3 linked regions of the Arabidopsis thaliana genome follow. The protein of the gene in region 2 interacts with the protein of the main gene of each other region in a pairwise test. Each region holds a gene or a part of one and is shown on either strand. Other genes may lie near its edges. The genes, in order: AT5G47070, AT1G71020 and PDLP6.

Region 1 (3,760 bases), on a different chromosome or scaffold from region 2:
CACCTGTCAACCAAATAAATAGGAAATTATCTTCCAATCTAAACACTAAACACACATCCCCGGTTCACAGAAGTCTCGATCCTAAACTACTAATCATGTCTCTATGACCACATTTAATATAACTTAATGTTTAACATTGTGCCTGTCCGAAAATATCAAGAACAATAAAAAGGGTCTGTCTAAAACCAGATTTCCTCTAATGGGTTTCGAAATTTTACCTTAAGATCATGTAAATAAGTCAATCCTTCAGCAGCACCAAGCATGATCTCGAGTCTTTTTTTCCACGGTAATGTGTGTGATCGACGAGGGAAGAGATGGTCTTCTAAACTTCGATTCGACATGTACTCATAAACCAAAAGCCTCTCGATCCCGGTCTCGCCGTCTTCCGAGCAATAACCTATGAGCTTCACAACGTTCGGATGATTCACTACTCCAAGAAACTGAACCTCTGCTAGCCATTGCTTGTGACCCTAATACACCATTCAAACACAGAGAAAGGAATATTACTAAAGCAACAAAGTTGACTTAATAAATGCATCCATTGACTCATACTTACTTTTCCATTTGACCATTCCACTAAATCTTTATATCAAGATTACGAAATTTCTTCAACTTTACTTCAAACAAGTGACAAAATTTGATTTTGCTTCATAATTGCATCAATCTAATCTTCTATTTCAACTTCTTAGCTTCAATTAATTGGTTAATTTATCTTCTAATGATTATATTAGCAACAAAGCAGAGAGAAGATTAACTTTTTACCTGTAAACCTTGTCGATTGAGTTTCTTGATGGCAACGACAAGTGGAGGATCAGAAGAATCTCCATTGCTGAGAATCTTTCCTTTATAAACAATACCAAATCCACCTTCACCGATCACAAGCTTTCTGCTAAACACATAAGTGGCTTTACTGAGTTCTTCGTAAGAAAAAACCCTAAGATTTTGTTCTCTCTCTGTATACAAATCTTTGATACTTCTTGGAGAAGGCAACGATCTTGGTGTCTGGAGATTAAACGAAGACGTTTCACTCCGATTCGTCAGTTCTGGAGCTGAGTTTTGTAACAACTCTTTACCTTTTCTTTTGTTCTTGTTGTTGTCTTTCTGTTGCTTTCTGGGTTTCTTTGATTTGAACAAGAACAGACAGTTCATGTCTTAAAGAGAGATAAAAAAATTCTAAAGAAAACCAGTGGAATTTTGATGGAAAACACAAAAATTAATTACTTTAGTTAAACCAGAAAATGTACTAAAAATTTGCTTTTTGGGTTTCTTAAGTTCTAAAATTGAGAAAATGGAACAAATGAAATTTGTAGAGAGAAATAAAGTTTTTTTTTTTTTGGGTTAGATTGTGGAAGAAGAGTATGAACACAGATCTATATAACAGCTTAATGAGAAAGAGATTTTTTCCTGGAAACTGAAGGAGAGAGACAACAAAACTAAAAGCCAGAGATTGAGTTTAGTATAACAAGTCTCTCTTTCTCTGCTTTTCTTTGTCGAGAAAGCAGATTAAGATGGAAAAAGACACAAAACGTTACGCCATTCCTTAAAAGATAAGGAGAAAGAAGAGAAGAAATCGTGTTTCAACACAAAAGAAAACAGAAGAAATCGCGTCCGTACGGATTACACGTTGAAAAGTATGTGTGAAAGACTCATACATTTCTAGACTCTGTATTAATAATTGTAGGTATAAATAACTTATATTGTGGAATTTTTAAAATGAATTTACAGCCTAAGACTATGTATATTAGTTTGTTTTTTAAGCACTCTTATTTATTTGCTTTTAACACTCCATATTATTTTTTATTTTTTTTCCCAGCTAATTATTCAACATCTGTTTAATTTTTAACATTTACAATGGTTTGTTTAATAATATTCAACATTTTAACCCACTATTTTTATCTCATATTTTTTATGTTTCAAATTACATATTAATAACACTTATCAAATAAATTTAAGTTAAAATAATTATAAAATACAAACAAATTATGTTTGTTGAAATCCATTTTTCTAAATGTATAAAAATTTAAACAAAAATGTATGTGAAGATAATTAAAAGAGTTATAGTAAAATAAACTTCTTTTTTTTATGTGCAAATCAAATGAAACAAGGATCTTTTTATAAAGAAATTTTTTTGATTAATTTTGATTTTAAATTCATAAAAAAATAAATTAGTTCTAATCTTAAATATTTAGGGTGAAATATAAAAATTTTCAGAATTTAATATCTAGTGAAAAGAAGACACGTGTCGCAAGTGACGCCCATTTATTTGTGTTCAACATGTTGAATCTTTTCAACTATAGTTAATCCACAAATTTTTTTTTACTTTTTCAACACCCTCATTGTAAGAGTTTCAACGGTTGAATAAACCCCCGATGCACATAGTCTAATATAAACGTAAAATTCGTTTCATTTTATTATTTTATCATATTCCACATTTTTATGTGATAGATTATGAAAAATTGCACAATATCATAAAATAAATACGAAAATATGGCAATTTTTACCTCTAATCCCACCCGAGCAGAGAACCGTCAACACTCTTCTCCATACCGATGAGCAATTCCAGCTCGCCCTTTTTGCCCCGAGGAGAACTTCGGACATGGAATCCTTTTTAACGTCACCTCGTCTTTTGACCGTGACCAACTTGTCGTCCTGATTCGCTCGTAGAAAATCTTTCGACTAACCGTGCTTTCACATGCGCCATAATGTTTTTAGCTTTTGTCTCAAAGCTCTCATGAAATCTATCTCGTTTTACTTTATCTATCATTTTATGGTATTGGAGAATGTCTCTCTTATTTATGTTTTAAACTTTGTAATATTTAAATCACTCATCCTTGTACTTGATTTGATTTAAATCTTTAACTTTATATACAGAGATTTTGGTTTTAAAAATTTTCTGACCTATTAAATATGTAATACCTAAAAGTTAATTATTAAATAATATATATGTAACTAATTCTTATGAGATTTTTCTTTTTGAACAAACAATTTCTTGTAAGTTGTAACATATCTTAAGTAGTTTTATATGGTACGATGATAATTTGCTACAATGATTATTTTATGGATTAAAATTATTATTTTATTGATGATGATTTATAGATCTCAAAATAAAGTGAACAAAAAAAATCAAACTATGCACTCATATTTGCAGAGGCATAATAATTTATGATCATCTGTTTTAATACATTTGCCAATTCCTTTCCATAACTGCAAGCACAACGCGGTACACGAGCCAGCACCACAATCAGTTTCCGATAAAAACTTTTGACATATTGCGTTTTGTCCTTGAATCTCATTCACCATTGATCCTGTAAAAGTAATATTTAAAACACAAACACAAAGTTAGTTTTCATGGTAGTAAAACTACATGATTTTATAACTGAATTAGAGATGGTTAAAAAAACCTAGAATAAGGATGATGTAGACAAAAAGAAAGGTGGATTTAGTCATTGTATGATAATTGGAGTTTACAAAAATAATGAGAATAACGGTACTATATAATGAAATATCACATAGAAAGACACACACACAGATATATATATATATATATATATATATATATATGCATATATTATCATTTTTGATTTTTTTCTCTTTGTGTATATATGTTACTAAAAAAATATGGATAGTTTTTAGTAACATATATATTTTTGATAGTATCCATATGTTTTTTAGTAACATATATACATAAGTGGAATGATACTTAAAAGATAAAGGATAAGTACAAAATTAAAATTGATTAATACGAAAGTAGGTCAATAAT
Region 2 (3,760 bases):
TTGATTGGCTAGAGAGTTTACAAACCAATGCTCGGATCGCTGACATATCTCCACTTAGATCACGGAAAGACCCATCACTGTTTTTGGTCCTACCGTTCATGTAACCACCTGGTTGCTCAATGTTGTGCTTAGTGCACCACTGAGATATCAGGCTTCTGAGGACATAGTTTGGAGTAAGAGTAAAGTTTTCAAGTTTCTGCTGTGTCTTTGGGCAGCTCAGATTTCCACAGTCTATCCATCTCTGAATGAACGACCTCTCGTATGTCTGCCAACGAAGAGAGAAGATCATTGTTAAGGTTTCAAATCAACAACCATACGTTAGCACTATATAAAGATTTGATTTTTTAAACCAGACCTGTCCTGTGGAAACAATAGCAGGATCCTTCATCAGTTCCAGAGAGATTGGACAAAGAAAGTCCTCTGGAATCGTGAGATTATCCGATTTCTGTGAGTCATCGCTGTTCTCGGTAACTGCTTTCTCTAATCTCTCATCATCACCATCCTTTGATAAAAAGAAGGCCAATGATACTGAAGAGCTCTTCCAAGGAGGGGGTGATTCAAATTTCTTCTCATCTGATAAAGAATGCACTGTCTCTGGAATACTCTCCAACTTTTCAATAACTTTTCTATTACTTGAGGCATCTTTCTCCATTGGCTCAGATAAACCACTCGAGAACTTCTTCGAATTTAACGATCCATATCTCTGCATTGCTCTTCTTAACTGTAATCTTGCTAGTTCCACCTAATCACAAGCAAAAAAAAACCCTTAGAAACACCTCCATGGATAGGAAAACCAAATCTTCATACATTCTACATAATGAACAAACTTTTACCTGTTCACGGACTTCGTCAGAGATATCATATCTATCATATGTCAAATCACCTAATGCTTTCTCCAGCTTCCATGTAACACATTGGAACTGGAATGAGATCCTCTTGGCTGCCCCATCCTTCAATCAAAATCACACATCAAAGTTTAGAGAGCTCCTCATGTATATATTAATAATGCTCTTCACTACACAAATGTCAACAATAGTATCTTCCAATCTAAAAAAACTAAAAACAAATTCTTCCTATAAATTACGTTCCTGCCATGGCGAGACCAAATCTTCGTGAAATCACAAATCCATTTTCAATCGTTGAGAATGGTTTAGAATGCTTACAGAGGACTCGCGAGCTTGGAAACTAGTAGCTGAAGACAAAAGACGCTTCGCGGCTTGAAGTCCCACCACAAGATCAGACCACCAATCACATTCATGAGAATTCAACGAAGAAGAAGCATCAGATTCCGACGGCGGAGAAGAATCCCTGATTTCCTCAATCAAATGCGTCAGGAGACCGACTCGTCGCGCGAGATCGGAACAATCCTTCTTAAACAAACCAAAATTCCCCGGAATCTCATTGATTTCAGCAATAAGACCGATGAGAGAATCGGGAGTGATAGCTCCACCAGCCATTACGCCGTCTCACACGGCGGCTTAAAATTCGAATTTTTGTGACTCGCTCTCTCTCTCTCGCTGGCTCGCTTCTGACTCAGAGATGCGTCTCTATCGCTTTTATGTATCCAACGAAGCCATGTGGCGAAAAAGGATAAGTCGCTGTTACGACACCGTTTTGGTTTTAGTGTTTTTTGTTTTAAACTTTTTATCTAACTCTAAAAATGGTTTTTTCTTTTCTTTTTAGTTTACTGGCTTTATATTTTTAGATAAAAGTTTATGTGATACATTTAAATAATACAATAGAACAAACTAGATAATTGAGAGCGAGATTCACGGTGCAAGTAGAGGTTGAAGAGAAAATGATACAGTTGTCAAAAAAATAATCAATTATTATCATTTATATTAGATCAAAACTGTATAATAGAAATGAACTATACTTTTAAATTCAATAAAAAAATCCACTTTTCTATTTATTGAAGAAAATGGTTTGTTGTGTGCTTAGTTGTAAAGTAGATCTTATATGATTGTATTTTATAGTTGTGTTGAAATTTATGTTGGAGTTATGAAATTTATCTGTATGTATTATTTATGTAATCTTAAATGGTAATAAATAGTCAAATTAGTTATTTTTTCTATTTGAAAAGAAACTAAGATAAAATTTCCAGGCCTTTAGATGCATTGTATTGACATGTGTTTCTAGTATATGATCTGTCTTACCCTAGTGTTTATTAAAAGATGGAAAAAATCTTCTTTGTAATTAACTAAATATAGCTTTACATGTTTTATTTTCCCTTAAAAATAACTTTGTATGTGTAAGAAAATTTAATATCTCTTACAGCAAAAATGTTCTAGAAAAATTATGTCAATTAACATAATTTTGGTGAGTATTATATAGCCTGCAAATGGAACGGTCGAACATGACCCGGTAGATCGAATTTTAACAACATTTTAGATAATTTGAAGCATGTATACAAATTGGGACCTATAATTTTCTTAAAACTGTTTTACCACAGTTTAGTATACTTTTGATTAAAATTTATAAACATGACTTACATATAGTTTGTGACAGTCTTGTATTGAAAAGTTATCTCGGTTTAACAAAAGAAAGGTTCAACCACGACATCCACATCATATCGGCCGACGTCCATGCCCGTGACTTCTGCGTCCTACATAACAACCGATAGCAACTTGAAAAATAGACAACATTATCTTTTAGACATTTTTGGCAAGTTTGACTGGCTGGTTTCATAATTATTTTTGGACATATGCAAAAATAAAAAGATCTACATAAAGAAGAGGGTATTCGTCTGAATCAGATGAAGATTAATAACCTTGAAGTGTTTGATGAGGCATGTGATTTTTGCTTGCACATCCACACACAACTCTCCATTAACCACAATACTCACCGTTATTTCTGAAATTTATGGTGTAGTTGTACTTGCGGAACAATATGAAAGTGAAGGTGAGATCAGAGTTTATACAGTTGTGGAAACAACTTCTTTGATGGTTGTAGATCCCGCAATCGTAGAAACAACCTTAATGATGATTGTAGTTTCGATGATAAATATTGGTCCATTTTCTTAGCAAACAATCTCCTCTTCTATACTTGTCAAACATTCATATTCTTTGGTCATGCAATTTTGTTTAATATTTGATGATGTTTGAATAGCGGTTGTACAAATGTATTTACTTTCTAATTTTTATTTTAAGCATGTATGAAGATACTTTAAACAAATTCATTGTGAGTTTTGTTCAAAATATATGTGAACGTGTTTGTACTAGTTGGTGCATATTTGACCGTATAGTCTCCATGCTTAAGACATCCTTAAATCGATACATTTCATTATTTTATAAGTTAACTAATTTGCTTCCTTTATATCTTTAGTAAGTAATTTTCGTATTTATAGATTCCTTTGTGCGAAACGAGAGTTTGAAATTGCTTTTGAATAAAGAGTAAAGTGTAGTTTGGAGGAAAATGAACATACTTGTCCATTTTAAGAGAGTTAATTAATACTTCCCGTCAATGTGCACCGTTAACATTGCTGTATTAGCTATAATTTCTTACAGCTTGATTGATCAAATAAGCAGCGGTTATCGTCGGTTAGTTATTAACGATCTACTATAATACTAATCACTGAAAACAGAACCGGACATTTAAGAGAATAGTTGTTCAATGACCAGCCGGTCCAATTCAGGATTAACATATTTCAAACATCGTTATACCATCTCTCTAGTGAATATTATAATATGTGCATTTGTAATATAACAAATGTGTACAAACAAATACACCATTTCTCATCGGAATAGAAGAAGCGTTTCTT
Region 3 (3,760 bases), on a different chromosome or scaffold from region 2:
TTGGGCTCCATTAATTACATATTGATCCGTTAATCATAACAATATTTGATGATAATGTTCGATTAATTAGGGATGGGTCATTTCATTTACCTTTACCTCTCTCGCACGATTTTGCCATAAAAGAGAGAAATACGACGAGTAACGTAACTCCAGCAATTAAGCCAACTATGATTGCAAGTGTTTTCTCTATCTCATCGTCATCATTGTTATTACGATTCCCACCTAATTACATCCCAAAAATAACACATTTTTAACAATACAATTATCAAAAATATTATATGCATAAATTGTAAATTCTATGCAAAGAAGATGGAGAAAATAAACGAAAAAAATAAATCTTGAAAATAAAAATCTCACATAACCACATGACTAAGACAATACGTTCGTAACTATTCGATAATAAAATATATATAAATAGTAAATACTGTACAGTTAAGTTTTTACTGCAGTTATTGATTCAGTTACCACTGTTAACGGCTGTTAATTTGAATATCTAATTTTAACAAAATTTAATAAAACGAAAGTTTTAAAAAGATATAAAAATTAATTTAGATATTTTTTGAGAAAATTAAATAATAGAGGTATTAAACAGACAAACTAAAATTAGCCGGAGATTTTTTCGGGTTTTTCCCTTAATTAAAAACTTTAAAATCAAATAAAAATCTTTATAAAAGAAATAAAAAGCAACGGAGCAAAGAAGACATTACCATAGCCGTTGGCTCTAGAGTGACCTCCACGCGCAGAGTAACGCGCGTAGCACTTTGCTAAGTACACGTCACCCCAAGCAGCTCCTCCGCAATCCGTTCTCAGCCGTCCGATCGCTTCCATCAAACAGTCTTGACACTCAGTCGCACTAAGATCTCCGGTGCACTGCGCCACACCTTGCAGTTCCCCCGACACTCCTACTCTGTATGAACCACCGCTACTCGCCGCTAAAGAACCCACCACCGAGTCTCTACGAGTCATCTCGTCCGAGTTATAACCAACCGGTGGTCCACAACGTCGAACCACCACCGTCTTATCCTCAACACCGAGGAACGTCGTGTTGTCGTATTTAACGAAACAGCCTTCGAGCTGCAACGCGCCACCGCTTGCCATGGCGCAGAGACTCCCTAGACGGCTTACTGCTCGCGCGACGCATCTTGCACAATCTCCCGAGCCGGAGGAGAGATCACCGCGACACTGGTACAAACCGTAGACGGAGGAACTGTCGCCGGAGATTCCGTTGGTGGTGAAGTTGTTGTATGTGTAGAGAGAAGCTGAGCTAACGAACGAGGTGAGTAGAGAGTTAACGTTTGACTCGTAAGGCGATCCCGGAAAGTACTTTTCTTGTGAGCAACCACCGTAGATAAAAGTATCGACAGCGGCGGATGAAAACGTTCCGAGAAGTGACACGACGGCGATAAAGAGAACTGTTTTTGTAGCGAACATGACTTTCGACGATTGCTTCTTTTTGTTCTCTCTCTCTCTGTGGTATGATTCGAGAAAGAATGAGAACGTCGCGACTTTTTTTTATGCTTGGTGTTTAACTTTTTTTTTTTTTTAATGATTGGTGCGTTACTATATGATTATGAAACACTTTGATTATATTGTATTTTTATCATCTGTTTATCAGTTATATGGTTTGGTAATCGATATACTATATGTCAAAATTATTTATTTGGTAATCATATATATGAAAGTTGGCTAACTTTCTTCATATGAGTGACACATCATCACACTAATGAGTGTCACATGTTATCCTAAATTAATATTATTAGAAAAATAATAAAACTTGGTGATAAAATTTAAAAGTTTAACATTGCATTGAATCATTCATTAATCTTATTTTTAACAAAATATCTTCACTTAAAAGAAAAAAATATAAAAAATTATGTTAATATATCAAATACTATTTTCATTTTACTTTTCTTATTTTGCTATTTTTTTTAATAGTCAGTATTTGATAATGGTTAGAAACTTTTGGGTATTGCAACTTACCTGGTACTTAACCTTTTTTAATTTAGTAATTTTAACTTAATTTTTCTTATTATTACATTTTTTGGTCTACATGATATTATCATGGTCTTTTTGTACTTTATGATAAATTAGTAACATTAATAATAACATGCATGTTTTTTAAAGTAATGGTCTTTTGAGACGTTAGATATACCAAAAAATTTAATATACGACATTCTCTCCAATATAGCTAAATGCAAATGTAAAGAGAGAAACCTAAAAGTATTAACTTAAAAGACTGTTTAATTTTTGCTTTCTTTTTTTTCTTTCACGTGAAAACTTTTAATGCAAATGAGTAGTTAGTTATACATATGTTATTTATTTTATGTCAATCTAATACTTAGCCATGAGTTTATCATGATGTGATTGGGATATTAGATTAAGAGAGAATACATGAAACAATAAATTGTTTGCTTAGAATCAAATTAGACAACTTTCAAACTAAATAAGTAACATAATTGCATACCATTGTATCATATATTGTTGATGTAAGTAATTCATGATAGTTAAAAAAAGATTAGAATTTTGGGTATAGAGATAAAAAGATTTATACATAAAAAATATAATTGATATGTGAATCAAAAGTGAATCTAACTCTACAAATATAATTACATAAAATAAATATAACTTTATTAACTACATAATAACATATACGGAAAAAACATAAATTAGCAATCAAAATAGTTAAACATAATTATTTTTAAATAATTTTTAAAATAACAACCTATACGTAGTGTGAGTATTCACCTAGTGTAATTTTATTTTTGTTAAAAGTAGTTGGTATATGCGCACATCATGTCATCATCCTACACCGGGAAATTGGGAAATTCAGGACTGCCTAAATAATATCTTAGCTTTGGCCAAGAACCGTTACTATAATATATATAGTCGTAGAGAACCAAATGTAATGGCAAATACATTAGCAAGAGAGGCTCAACAAAAGCAGTATTATTCTACAAAATTTATGCAATCAACATATTTTAAAAATAATTTTATTCTACAATTTTTCATTTTACAAATTTTTATTTGGCAATTTATATTATTATGCTATTATGTAATGTTACCAATTGGAGTTATAGTCTCTTGGGTCTGTTAAATGTATTTCTGTACACACTTTCATTATCTAATGGATAAATTGGCCGACTAAAAAAAATATAATCATGCACTGATTAGTTTTGTTAAGTTAATTTTACACACATCTATGGACAACTCGAGGGCATTTTTGATTTAGGTGATCTTTGTTACATTGCAAGAACAATTTTTTCATAGATTGTAACTATTATCTTTTGATCCTTAAGATTATTTCAAACTATCTAAAGTTAATTTAAACTATGCCAGAAAAGAAAATTGTTAGTATTTTGTTACCAAAAATTTAAAAATTGCTAGAGGTCATTTTTATTTTTCATTATATTTGAATCAAATATCTATTATCAAAATTAGTAGAATCAATCTTATTAATTAGAAATAACTTTTTGCATAATAGATTAGAAATTTTCTAAGTTATAAAATTAATAATATATAAACTCTTTTTTAGTAAGATATTAGCTTAATTAATCTCTTTATTGGCTAAACAAAAAGATTGGAGTAGTTTGTTTTTCATGTCTATTTTTCTTGATTAATTTTATATTTTCCTAATATTGCCTGGTTACTCTCTTTCTCTAAAAGTGGTTGATATCAAAATCTTGTAATAAATTAAAATTTCAATTTTTTAATTTTTAATTACATGCAAAGAGTGTATCTAGCTGTCATATTTACTTAATCA

What was found.
Region 1: the proteins of AT1G71020 (region 2) and AT5G47070 interact in a protein complementation assay, tested with the Arabidopsis thaliana proteins (one large-scale study listed by BioGRID).
Region 3: the proteins of AT1G71020 (region 2) and PDLP6 interact in a protein complementation assay, tested with the Arabidopsis thaliana proteins (one large-scale study listed by BioGRID).

The regions. Positions count from the first base shown.
Region 1 is NC_003076.8:19,119,380-19,123,139, forward strand, and holds the start of AT5G47070 (Protein kinase superfamily protein), read right to left. Parts: upstream 1,725-3,760; 5' UTR 1,150-1,724; coding exon 763-1,149; intron 471-762; coding exon 219-470; intron 4-218; coding exon 1-3. Other genes in the region: LCR20 (low-molecular-weight cysteine-rich 20), read right to left, coding at 3,124-3,305, 3,402-3,447.
Region 2 is NC_003070.9:26,791,649-26,795,408, forward strand, and holds the start of AT1G71020 (ARM repeat superfamily protein), read right to left. Parts: upstream 1,672-3,760; 5' UTR 1,458-1,671; coding exon 1,164-1,457; exon of another isoform or gene 951-1,163; coding exon 834-950; intron 743-833; coding exon 356-742; intron 266-355; coding exon 1-265. Other genes in the region: MYBL2 (MYB-like 2), read right to left, coding at 3,735-3,760. UniProt on the Arabidopsis thaliana protein: Functions as an E3 ubiquitin ligase.
Region 3 is NC_003071.7:291,066-294,825, forward strand, and holds the start of PDLP6 (plasmodesmata-located protein 6), read right to left. Parts: upstream 1,624-3,760; 5' UTR 1,432-1,623; coding exon 708-1,431; coding exon of another isoform or gene 652-707; exon of another isoform or gene 223-651; coding exon 91-222; coding exon of another isoform or gene 83-90; exon of another isoform or gene 1-82. UniProt on the Arabidopsis thaliana protein: Modulates cell-to-cell trafficking.